Linked DNA regions of Callithrix jacchus. The protein of the gene in region 1 purifies or fractionates together with the protein of each later gene. This does not show direct contact. Links are inferred from orthologs where the notes say so. Each region holds a gene or a part of one and is shown on either strand. Other genes may lie near its edges.

The links. The genes of interacting proteins can lie anywhere in the genome.
Region 2: the proteins of POLR2D (region 1) and MED19 purify together in Homo sapiens (affinity purification with mass spectrometry; 4 studies listed by BioGRID and IntAct, with this or other methods). This does not show direct contact. The link is inferred for Callithrix jacchus from reciprocal best matches to the Homo sapiens genes POLR2D and MED19.
Region 3: the proteins of POLR2D (region 1) and POLR2M purify together in Homo sapiens (affinity purification with mass spectrometry; 3 studies listed by BioGRID and IntAct, counting the BioPlex papers as one, with this or other methods). This does not show direct contact. The link is inferred for Callithrix jacchus from reciprocal best matches to the Homo sapiens genes POLR2D and POLR2M.

The regions. Positions count from the first base shown.
Region 1 is NC_133507.1:36,558,495-36,562,823, reverse strand, and holds the start of POLR2D (DNA-directed RNA polymerase II subunit RPB4), read right to left. Parts: upstream 2,812-4,329; 5' UTR 2,789-2,811; coding exon 2,716-2,788; intron 1-2,715. UniProt on the Homo sapiens protein: Core component of RNA polymerase II (Pol II), a DNA-dependent RNA polymerase which synthesizes mRNA precursors and many functional non-coding RNAs using the four ribonucleoside triphosphates as substrates.
Region 2 is NC_133511.1:115,289,755-115,293,946, forward strand, and holds the start of MED19 (mediator of RNA polymerase II transcription subunit 19), read right to left. Parts: upstream 2,825-4,192; 5' UTR 2,792-2,824; coding exon 2,575-2,791; intron 1-2,574. Other genes in the region: TMX2 (thioredoxin-related transmembrane protein 2), read left to right, coding at 3,227-3,415. UniProt on the Homo sapiens protein: Component of the Mediator complex, a coactivator involved in the regulated transcription of nearly all RNA polymerase II-dependent genes.
Region 3 is NC_133509.1:3,678,520-3,682,639, forward strand, and holds the start of POLR2M (protein GRINL1A), read left to right. Parts: upstream 1-1,296; 5' UTR 1,297-1,425; coding exon 1,426-1,538; intron 1,539-3,270; coding exon 3,271-3,918; intron 3,919-4,120.

The DNA.
Region 1 (4,329 bases):
GCCTGCCTGCCCTCTGTATCCTCAGTTTCACAGCCTGATCCAAGTTTGGTTGGAAAAAGCCCTGCGTATAAGTGGACCGTGCAGTTCAAGCCTGTGTTGTTCACAGTCAACTGTATCCAATTCAGCAAAATTTTCATGTGTACCAGACACTACCTGATTTCATCAAAAATTATATGCAGAGTGTAATAAACTCACTAAGCAAAAAGTACCTACACAAAACCCAAGTACAAAAAAATCTGTGTATCATCAAATTAAGAAAAGCATCTTTTTAGTTATCCCTTAAAAAAGAAACTATTATTTCTATCATGCCAAAAACTTTCATAAATCTACCTATGGAAACATATGACCCTCATTCCATAAATAAAAAACTGAAAGGAGGCTGGGCACCACCAGTCCCAGCTATTGGGAGGCTGCGGAAGAACTGCTTAAGCCCAGGAGTCTGAGGCTGTGCTATTACTGAGCCTGTGAATAACCACTGCAGTCCAACCTGGGAAACACAGTGAGACCCTGTCTCTTAAAAAAAAAAACAGAAAACCGGCCCGGCGCGGTGGCTCGCGCCTATAATGCCAGCACTTTGGGAGGCCGAGGCGGGTGGATCACGAGGTCAAGAGATCGAGACCATCCTGGTCAACATGGTGAAACCCCATCTCTACTAAAAATTACAAAAAATTGGCTGGGCACGGTGGCGCGTGCCTGTAGTCCCAGCTACTCGGGAGGCTGAGGCAGAATTGCCTGAACCCAGGGGGCGGAGGTTGCGGTGAGCCGAGATTGCGCCATTGCACTCCAGCCTGGGTAACAAGAGCGAAACTCCGTCTCAAAAAAAAAGAGACCGAGACCATGCTGGTCAACAAGGTGAAACCCCGTCTCTACTAAAAATACAAAAATTAGCTGGGCATGGTGGCGCGTGCCTGTAATCCCAGCTACTCGGGAGGGTGAGGCAGGAGAATTGCTTGAACCCAGAAGGCGGAGGTTGCGGTAAGCCGAGATCGTGCCATTGCACTCCAGTCTGGGTAACAACAGCGAAACTCGGTCTCAAAAAAAAAACAAAAAACAAAAAATCAAAAAAACCCAGAAAACCCTCCAAACACTGGAAGTAACTTCTATCTCTAACAACAAAAAAACAGCATTAAGGTACAATCAATAAGTACTACCTAGCCCATTAAAAGAGTAAGAGGGTGCGCGCAGTAGGTCACACCTGTACTCCCAGCACTTTAGGAGGCCAAGGTGGGCGGATCACGAGGTCAGGAGTTCAAGATCAGCCTGGCCAACATGGTGAAATCCCATCTCTATTAAAAATACAAAAATTAGCAGGGCTTGGGCGCACCTGAAATCCCAGCTACTCCAGAGGCTAAGGAAGGAGATATGCTTGAACTCAGGAGGTGGAGGTTGCAGTGAACCGAGATCGCACCATTGCACTCCAGCCTGGTCAACAGAGCGAGACTGTCTCCAAAAAAAAAAAGAGTAAGTTAGGGCCGGGCGTGGTGGCTCAAGCCTGTAATCCCAGCACTTTGGGAGGCCTAGACGGGTGGGATCACGAGGTCGAGAGATCGAGATCCTGGTCAACATGGTGAAACCCCGTCTCTACTAAATACAAAAAATTAGCTGGGCATGATAGTGCATGCCTGTAATCCCAGCTACTCCGGAGGCTGAGGCAGGAGAATTGCCTGAACCCAGGAAGCGGAGCTTGCGGTGAGCCGAGATCGCGCCATTGCACTCCAGCCTGGGTAACAAGAGCGAAACTCCGTCTCGGGTGGGGGAAAAATAAAAAAAGAATAAGATAGGTCAGGTGCTGTGGCTCACTTGAGCTCAGGAGTTTGAGACCAGCCTGGGAAACATAGTGAGACCTTGCCTTTACAAAAAAAAAAAAAATTTAATGAGCCAGGTATGGGGGCATGTACCTGTGGTCCTAGCTACTTGGGAGGCTGAGGTGAGAGGATCGCTTGAGCCAGAGAGGTTGAGGCTGCAGTGAGCTCTGATCTTGCCACTACATTACAGCCTAGACAACAGGGCGAGACCCTATCTCAAACAATCAATAAAGAGTAAGATAGCTGTATACAATATACTGTAAAGTTCTTGAGCTGAAGACCTCATCCCTAAGAATAGCCTCCCCTTGATCACCATAAACCGCTTAAAGTGCGTGCCTGAGAAAACTGAAGGCTACCAAAATAATTTTTTGTTCTACCCAACAGCTGAAGACAGCCCTGTCTCTCCGTCTCAGGGGGAAGGTAGGGGCCTAACTTCGATAGGTGCGCCAGTAAACAAACCACTGTGGGTTCACACGGACCAAGCCTCGTCTTCCCGGTTTTTTAAATATCTCACTTCCCTGACTCCCCTGAGCCCCCGCTCACCACAACCTATTCCCTAATTCTCCCTTAAAACGCCCAGAGGTTTTGTACTAATCGAAGCTGAGTTCGCTTCACGCTGGACTCTTTTCCATAGCGCAACAGTTAGTTTAAAATCTGACCTTACCACCTGAGTGTCCGGCTTTATTTATCTTTAACACAACCCGCCGGAACTTCGCAGTCTGCTATCACATAAAATAACCCACTTGGCCAGGCGGCCCCTCCCGGTTCCATGTTTCCTCCCCAGCACTACAACGCGCCAGGGTTTGCCTGAGCCGCCGCTGAGGCCAGGCCTCGGGCGAAGCGTGGCTAACGCCAGGCCTGCGGGGACCACGCAAAGTGGCGCGGGAGAGTCTGGCAGCCCGAGCCCAACCTTTAGGAAAGATGAGCTGTGAGGCGTCCTCCTCTACGTCGCCAGCCCGCGGATCGCTGCCGCCAGCCGCCATCACCGCACGGCCCGCCACCACCCACGCTGCCGGAAGCGGAAGCGCGGAGAACGGCAGCAGAAGGGGCGTGGCCTCAGGCGGGGCACCGAGGGGTGGGCGGGGCGCCGAGGGTGGGCCTGGCCCGGCGCGACTAGAGGACGGGTTGGTGAGGTCTGGGAAACTCCTAGCCGCCGAGGGGTACCCTGCGCGGGATTGGGGTCCGCCGCACTCTCTCTCTCTCTTCTCCAATGCGCCTCACCGCGCGGACGTCCTGGGGCAGCCCCTAAGCCTTTCTGGGCAGAGAGGGTCAGATGAGATGCAGGAACGCCTGCTGATGGAAAGCAGGATTGGCGCCTCAGAACGCGCCCGGTCCAATTTCCTTTACTGACTTAAACTTTTAAAACTGTATTGATTTCTGGGGGATATTTGATACTTCTGAGCATGCGGACAATGATATTCGAAGGCTTTAACCACACGTCTGTTGGAACATTTGGATGATGCGTAGAAAATTAAGCAAATGACGGCTGAGCGCGGTGGCTCACGCCTGTTATCGCAGCACTTTGGGAGGGCGAGGCGGGCGGATCACCTGAGGTCAGGAGTTTGAGACCAGCCTGGCCAACGGGGTGAAACCCCATCTCTACTACAAATACAAAAATTAGGCGGGCGTGGTGGTGGGCGCCTGTGATCCCAGCTACTCGGGAGGCTGAAGCAAGAAAATCGCTTGAACCCGGGAGGTGGAGGTTGCGACACTGCACTCCAGTTTGGGCGAGTGAGCGAAACTCTGTCTCAAAAAAAAAAAAGAAAAAGCAAATGAAAAGTGATGCTGTTTTCAACACTGGAGAAAGGGCAAAAGGCTGTACAATAAAGGAAATAATCATAGCTTATTAGTCAACAATCTCGGCTCATTAGTCAACAATGTTTATTTAGATGGTCATATTGTAAACTCTGTTGATTTAATAAAAAATGAATTGGGCTGGGCACGGTGGCTCAGGCCCGTAATTCCAGCACTTTGGGAGGCCGAGCCTGGAGGATGGCTTGAGCTCCAGAGTTCAAGACCTGCCTGGATAACACGGTGAGACCTCACCTCTAAAAACTATAGAAATCGGCTCGGCGCGGTGGCTCATACCTGTAATCCTAGCACTTGGGGAGGCTGAGGCGGGTGGATCACGAGGTCAGGAGTTCGAGACCAGCCTGGCCAATATGGCGAAACCCCACCTCTACCAAAAATTCAAATATTAGCCCGGTGTGGTGTCACGCACCTGTAGTCCCAGCTACTGGGGAGGGTGAAGCAGAATCGCTTGAACCCAGAAGGCAGAGGTTGCAGTGAGCCAAGATCACTCCACTTCACTCCAGCCTGGGCGACAGAGCAAGACTCCATCTCAAAAAAAAAAAAAAAAAAAAGAAAGCGGGGCGTGCCGCGTCTGTAGTCCCAGCTATTAGGGAGGCCGAGGTGGGTGAATCGCTTAAGGGATGCAGTGAACTATGATCGCGCCACTATACTCCAGTGGCACTGTACTCTCTGGGCAACAGAGAGATACCCTGCCCCCCCCCAAAAAAAAGCC
Region 2 (4,192 bases), on another chromosome or scaffold:
CTACATATAAGGGTGTTGTGAACTTCAGAGTACCATACCAATATTTGTTATTATTTCCCTCAAGTCATGATGTGGAAATAAGACTTGAGATAATGAAAGGCATCTTGGAGACCTAACATGTCCAGAAAACTTGATTTCCACCTCTTCAAACTTGTTCCTTCCTCATCTTCCAAGTCTCCATACCCATACACCTAATTATTCAAGGTGAAAACTTAAGAAGACATCATTCCTTCACTTTACTCTCTCCTTCACTTCTTCCCCTATTATCCAGGCTGGAGTGCAGTGGTGCAGTCACGGCTCACTGCAGCCTCAACTTCCTGGGCTCAAGTAATTCTATCACCTCAGCCGCCTAAGTAGCTGAGACTACAGGCACACATCACTATGCCTAGCTAAATTATATTTATTTTTTGTAGAGATGTGTCTCATTATGTTTCCCAGGCTTGTCTCAAACTTTCGGGCTCAAGATATTCTCCCACCTCGGCCTCCCAAAGTGTTGGGATTACTGGCATGAGCCACAGCGCCTGGCCCTATATTCAACTTTTCATCCCCATCAGCTCTACCTCTAACATCCTGTATCCATTTACTTCTCTATGCCCTGCTATGCCCTGGTTTGAACCATCATCTTTCCTGGACTATGAGTGGTAACCTCTGACTTCCCCACTTTCTATTTGTCATGTGGCTGCTTGAATGATTATAAATAAGTAAATCTGACCAAGTTCCTGTGTTAAAATGGCTTTCCTTGGCTGGGCACAGTGGCTCACGTCTATAATCCCAGCACTTTGGAAGGGCAAGGCAGGAGGACTGCTGTTGGCCAGGAGTTCAAGACCAGCTTGGACAATACAGTAAGACCCTATCTCTACAGAAAAATTTTAAGTTAGCCAACCATGGTGGCACATGCCTGTCGCCCTAGCTACCTGGGAGGCTGAGCTGGGAGGACAGCATGAGCCCAGGAATTCGAGGTCACAGTGAGCTATGATTATGCCACTGCAGTCCAGCCTGGGTGACACAGTGAGACTTTGCCTCTATAAATTTTTTTTTAAACGGCTTCCTTTGGTATTTGCCATCTAAATGCCTTTATTACTTTATAAAGGCCTCTGCCTAACTCTCCCACCTTTCCTTTTGTCTCTCTCTCCTAAGACTCTTTCCTTTCGTTCACTTCACTGGAGTCCAACTGATTTTCTGTCCCTCAGATATTCTAAGCGTTTTCTCACATCAGGGTTTCTGACCTCATTACTTGTATCTAGTATTATCTCTCCCTCCTATCCATCCATAGCTGGCCCTTTGTCTATGCTTATATTTTAGTTCAAATGTTAGCTACATGGAAAGAGCATCTCTGGTCACTCTAACTAAAGTAGTTCTGCCCTCAACATTTTTTTCTTTTGAGAGATGGTCTCATCTGTTGCCCAGGCTGGAGTGCAGTGGCACTATCTTGGTTCACTGCAGCCGAAACCTCCTGAGTTCAAGAGAATCTCCTCCCTTAGCCTCCCCAATAGCTGGGGCTATAGGCACGGACTGCCGTGCCTGGCTATTCTTGTATGTTTTGTAGAGACTGGGTCTCGACATGTTGCCCAGGCTGGTCTCAAACTCCTGGACTCAAAGGATCCTCCTGCCTGGGCCTCCCAAAGCGCTGGGATTACAGGTGTGAGCAACACGCCTGGCCCCTTTCAATTCTTTATCATGTTTTCTCCTCCTAGAATTAATCACTCTCTGATATAATCTTGTTTACAATGCCTCCTCCACTGACATGTACATTCCAAAAAAAAGCAAGCATCTTGTCAGTCTTGTTCATAACTGTATCTCAAGCATTTACAAAAGTGCTTGGTACATAGGAACTCAACAAAATTAATTTTTGAATGAAAAGAGTTTGGTTTGATTCTTATCCCTTCTTAGAACAGACCAGGAAACGCCGGAACCTTAGAAGGAATAATGGCAACTTGCCCCAAACCAACAGCAAAATTAAAACTTTGGGTCCCCAAAGATATTAAATCAGGCCTCTCAAGTTCCTAACTGAAACCCTGGATCTCCTGGATCTTTTGTTTTTGAGAGGGAGTCTCGTTCTGTCGCCCAGGCTGGAGTGCAGTGGAGCAATCTAGGCTCACCGCAACCTCCGCCTCCCGGGTTCAAAGCGATTCTCCCGCCTGAGCCACCTGAGTAGCTGGGATTAAACGTATACGCAACCATGCCCGGCTAATTTTTGTATTTTTAGTAGAGAGGGGGGGTTTCATCATGTTGACTAGGCTGGTCTCGAACTCCTGACCTTAGGTGATTCGCCCGCCTCCGCCTCCCAGAGTGCTGGGATTACAGGCATCAGTCACCGCGCCCAGTCCTGGATCATTTTTTTAGGGAGACATAAACCAGTGTCACGGAGATTCACCGTCCCTCTCCCCCGCCGTTTGGTTGAATTCAAGTCATCCCTCTGCTTGTGAATCCTAACAGCGCTTCCGACTTATGGCTCCACAGTCCGAGTCTGTCTTTCTTAGGTTACCTGGCACCTCCGCTAGCCGGCTGAGAACCACGCCCATCACCTCCTCTCTAAGATTTGATTGGCTGGCTTTGGCAAGGCCGTGTACTCACCTGGCAGTTCCCTCATTAGGTAGAAAGGGCCACAGCCAGCTCCTGACTTGTCCGCGCCGGGAGGGGCCGTGGCTGCGGTGGGAGGCGGGGCCGTGCCGGGACCCCCGCCTGGAGGAGGTGGTGGCGGGGGTGGAGGCTTTCCTGGTCCGAAGCCGAGTGCGGTTGGGGGCGGTGGTGGGTCAGCCTGAGCCCCGAACAGTGCCGTGAAATTCTCCATCGTCCCCTCCGCCTCGGCGCTGCCTAGATGTCTGGCGTTGGTAATTTTCATTGGACAATGCTTTTAAGGGTACCGCCCTCTTTCTCAAGGAGCCTCTTGTCATTGGATGCCTCAGGCACCGCTTACCTTGTTTCAGCAACTACTTCCGTCGCCTTATGAGAACGTTTAGAAAGTGCTATTTAACCTTATTAGATTCTTCTGCTAGCTTCGTTTGCTACAGTCCAATAAAATGACTTAGGTGGATAAAGCGACAACTAGACTAACCAATAATATGTTAAATTCTTATTTGGGTTCTGACCTACCACAGCGTCCAGAGAGCTACATCCGGATTTAGAGGCGGTACATTTGAGATACGGCCCAATAGCAGTCTCTATGGTGAGGGAGGCGGGGCCAGACCTACAACGCCAATGAGCCCCGGCCCTAACGGCCAAAAAGATGGCGATCCTGGCACCTCTAATTGCTCTGGTGTATTCTGTGCCGCGACTTTCACGATGGCTGGCCCAACCTTACTACCTTCTGTCGGCCCTGCTCTCTGCTGCCTTCCTACTCGTGAGGAAACTGCCGCCGCTCTGCAACGGTCTGCCTACCCAACGCGAAGACGGCAACCCGTGTGACTTTGACTGGGTGAGCGTCCCGCGTCTTAGTACCCCGCGACCTTGACTGGGAACCCTGGGCTTTCCCTTTCTGAGGACACTTGAGGTTCCGAGCCTGTAGCGGACTTACAAACTATTAAGTACAGGGTCCGGACCATCATCAAGTCAGCGAGCGGCCCAACAGCTTCTGACTGCGGAGTCCAGGTTTCTTTCCATTTCACCATTCACACTAATCAACAGCCCTATGAAAACTCTACATAGACGTGTACAGCGTTTTACAGTGCCGCTCATTAAGTAAAGCCTCCTGAGGAGCCAGTAGGTAGACAAGGGAAGTAGTAATGTTCTTGTTTCATTGGTGAAGAAATGGATCTCGGTATATTTAGGCGACTTGCCCCAGATCACACAACTAATGAGTGCCTGGGACTTGAAACTGCTCTTCTGGCCACACTAGCTGCACACACTGTCAGCCGTTTCTTAATTCAGTAAACATTTCTAGAGTGTACACTCTAGGCACTCTGCTGGATCGTGAGGATGTGAAAGTGGATAAAATTTTGGGGCGATTGTAAAGGAATTGTAAAAAAAAAATACGTCGTAAAAAATCCGTCCCAAGCTCCTTGCTGTGTTTCCTCGGTAGGGGTGGAGGGACCGCTCAGAACATTAACTTAAAGCGCTTCGCCCTCTGCCATATAGCACGTGGGGGGCAAGGAGAAACTTCCCCTTGCTCTCTGAGGGTTTGTTCAAAAAATCAACCGACAAAGGGCACTTCAAAAGATATTTTATTTTAACGTGCATAGCATGAGGGAATTGT
Region 3 (4,120 bases), on another chromosome or scaffold:
ACTATTTCTCATTCAGTCAATGCTGGAGCAGGTTTAAGTGCCCTTTACAGGAAGTCTTATACTGAGAAAACTTGTTTTGATATGTTAACGAGTCTGATCAAAATGGACCAGATTTTGGGAATAGAGAAATGGTTGCAATTGTGCTCCCTGGAATAGCTCTGGATTTTTACCTAGATCGTCTGTCTCTTTGGGACGGAGCTGTTTGTGTTTATGTAGCATCTTACATAGGATTGACACACCTTCAATCTTCTATATCAAAAAAATTGGGGGAGGGCGTGGTTTTGGAGGTTATGGGGTTTTCAAACCTCCCAAGTGACATCTGCTGGGACTGCATGTCTTCCAACTCTTTCTACTGGGATGCACCTCTGGTAGAGGAACTACAAGAAGGTAAAAGCTGGGTCCGATACGAACCTGCCTTCTTCTCAACAGCTGTAAAGTAAAGTCTTTTCAACAATTTTACACATTTGGAAATAGGTCTAAGTGAAGACGGGGATTTTCAGACTGGTACGTTGGAAAAGCAGCTGGGCTTTTGGGTTTGAAATCGGGTGCTGTCGCTGGTTTTGTGCCCTGGGAATATTTATTTCCGTTTTCGTGACGCTGTTTTTCTATTGGCAAAGTAGGAAATTAGAAAAGGTCGTCAGGCGGTTTGTACAGCCGCTCCCACTCCTCACCTCTTGTGGGCCTTGGACATGTATGTTGGGGGAGACGTTCCGGATTGTTGCAATGATCTGGGAGTGCCTGGCAGCCAGAAGCACCTGAATGTCCCGCTGCAAACGCCGTTGCGCCCCAAGAAGGGACCGTCCAACCTGAACATTTCCGGACGTCACGAAGCCGGGCTAGGAGGCACCACACGCAGGCCGGAGTCTCCCACGCCTTGTCTCACACTCTCCTCTACGTCATTAATGGCCAGCTCATCCTTAAGGTTTCCACTGGAATCTCGCTTTGCAGACACCCTCCGAGGTGTCCAACGCAACGTTACTATTGTATTATTATTTGATCGTCCCCCTGACTTCCCCACTCCGTAAACTCCAACTATAACAGAGGACGTGGCTATTTGGTGACTAACACGTCGTGTTTGGTGAGGTCACCCTGGCGCAGAACACTTTCTGTACAAACCGATGCGCCGCTGACGACGGGTGAAACGCTCACACGAGGGGAAAGGGCGCCAAGCCGCGGCGCCGGCGTCATGACGTCACTTCCGCCCTGCAGCGATTTCCCCCCGGACGCCCCCTTTCTCCCGGTCCGTGTTTGTTTCCGGCATTTCAATAAAGCTCGATTCGGCTCGAAGAAGAGCCCGTTCTTCCGGGAAAATGGCGACTCCCGCTCATGCCCCGGAGTCACCGGCGGCCGCGGATCCGGCGCTAGCTGCGGGGCCTGTTGAGGAAGCCGAGTGCCCGCCGCCACGCCAGCCTCAGCCTGCGCAGAATGTCCTCGCTGCCCCGCGGCTTCGAGCCCCAAGCACCCGAGGACCTGGGGCAGCGGAGTTTGGTGGAGCTGCGGGAAATGTTGAAGCGCCAGGAGAGACTTTTGCGCAACGTGTAAGCTGCGGTCCCGCGGAGTCACTGCCAGGCTCCTTCAGCTGGAGCTCCCTGGGCGCTCCCCTTCCCTCCCTCACTCCATTCACTTCCCTGGAAGGTGACCTTGCCTCAGTCACATTCGCCTCAGTCCTCCGGGCGAGTGGACAGAGGACTTGCTGCCGCAGAGCCGTCCCTCTCCCTGGCCAGGCACGTTTGCCTGCGAGGACGACTCGTCCTGGACGGCTCCTTAGCGCTGCAGTGAGTTAGTAGCTCCTCGCTGGTGGTGTTTTCCCGGGCACTCTGTTGGCTCCGTGAAGCAAGAGTCTGCATCCTAAGCCTTTGGCCGCCCGCGCCCCTAACCCATAACGGATTGTCAGCTTCATGTCTGGATTCTATGGTTACAGGAACCGGAGGAAATGGGGAGAGTGGGATGTGAGGAGCTGTTTATTAGGCCGGGAAAGTTCGACCCTCATTCAGCTGGCTGATTTAAAGGATTTTAGTAGGGGAGCCACGTGATAAAAGTGATTTTGTGTTTTGGGCAGTTGTGTTCAGCAGCTTCGTGCAAAAGATGGTTTGAAGGAATAAAAAGCAGAGGACAGTAGAAGGATGCTTGCAGAGAGGCTCCCCACGAGAGAGTTGTAAGGAAGTGAACTAGGAAGGAATTGGGAAAACTTTAAGCATGGACTAATTTACATGTAGTTGGCAGAGATGGCCGAAGTTTCCTATGTATATGGAACACCACTAGCAAAAAATAGGAAAATTCGGGGAGAGGAATAGATCCAAGGTTGATTTTACTTAGGGTGTGCGGAGGTGAGAGGAGAGCAGGACAGACATTTGGTTAAGTGAAAACCAAACAAAAGCTGGAGAAGCAGTCATGAGGCTCAAGAAAGAGAGAAATTGGAAAAATATAGAAAACATAGGAATTTCAGCTGTAGTGTTGTCAGTTGTGAGAATGAATGCATTGTCGAAAAGAACAGAGGACCCAGGGTTTAATTTTTTCTCTCCATTGATTCTATAAAGAAAAGGGAATCAGAAAAGGAACTCTGTTATCCAACAAAAGAGATAAATATTTGATTGGGGTCCAGACAGGTGTTTTGACCTTGTGAGAACAGGTTTTCAATCTATGGCAGTGAATTAACTTTCTGGTCTTGGGACTCCTTTATACTTTAAGAATTATTGACATCCCATGGAATTATTTATGTGTTATATCTAGCAAAATTCATTTACTTATCAGAAATGCAGCTGAAGTCTTTAAAACGTAAGTATACACAAGCACACATTCTATTCTAGAACAATGATGTCATCACATGTCATGTAGCCTCTGGAAAACTCCACTGTACCCATGTGAGGAAGTGAGAGGGAAATAACATCTTGGTATTATGATGAAAGTAGTTTTGACCTAATAGACCCATCCCCACACTCAACCCCATCCTCACATTTTGGAGATTTAATGACTGCTGGTTCTTGGAATGCCTTACGTGATTATTATATGCTTGAAGTACTTTTGCTGAAATTCTAATTTGCTGAGACAAATGAGGCATATATTCTCTGTTCCTGCATTCCCGTGTTTTTTGGGCTCTTTGGATAATGGCCATTTATTTGTTTTATTCCCATTTTGGAGAAGTTAGAAATCAGATATTCGATTTAAAAAATTGGCTTTTTTTCTTACAAGTTAATGCTTAGCTTCTTTAATGTTGTATGTCAAGTTTAAAAACGTGACTGTAATATATATGTATTCTTTTCCATTTGACAGAAAATTCATTTGCAAATTGCCCGACAAAGGTAAAAAGATTTTTGACTCTGTTGCCAAACTGAAAGCTGCCATTGCAGAACGTGAAGAAGTTAGAAGAAAAAGTGAACTGTTTCATGCTGTTAGTTTAGACTGTCAGCTAAGGCAAGAAGCCACTGCAGAGGTGGATGTCGATACAGATAAGGCCCGGAATTCTGACCAGATACTTGATGCTTCATCACTAGCTCCTGGCTGTTCCTCTGTAGATAACATCAAGTCATTTGAAACAACCTCACGAAACCAGGGACTTGGACGTCCTACTCATGAAGGTGATGAAGAGACTCCAGAGGTTGAGTACGCAGTGAGTAAGGGCCCAGCTTCCAGCAACAGAGACGGAGCGCCGCCTTCGTCTGAAGCTAGTGAGCATCACCCGCAGCATCGTGTTTCAAGTCAAGCAGAAGATACTTCCAGCAGCTCTGACAGCCTGTTTATTGACAGGTTACAGGGGATCAGCATTGCAGACCAGGGTGAACAACAGTCAGAAGAAAGCACAGGTGCCATGAACTTGACAGGCCTTTCTCATGCGACTCAGAAGAAGCCTCATTACATGGAAGTGCTAGAAACGCGAGCCAAAAACCCAGTGCCCCAGCTGCATACATTTAAGACCAATGTGTAAGTACCATCGGAAACAGGCCTGTAACAGGGGCATAGTATTTGTTAAACCTAAAAAGTTACGAGAAGCTGGTTGTGATGGTGCTTGTCTGTAGTCCCAGGCTTCTCAGGAGGCTGAGGTGGGAAGACAGCTTGAGGACAGGAGTTGGAGAAGGTTGGGCAACCTTTTCTTTTAAAAAAAAGTCAGGAGAATGCTCTAAGT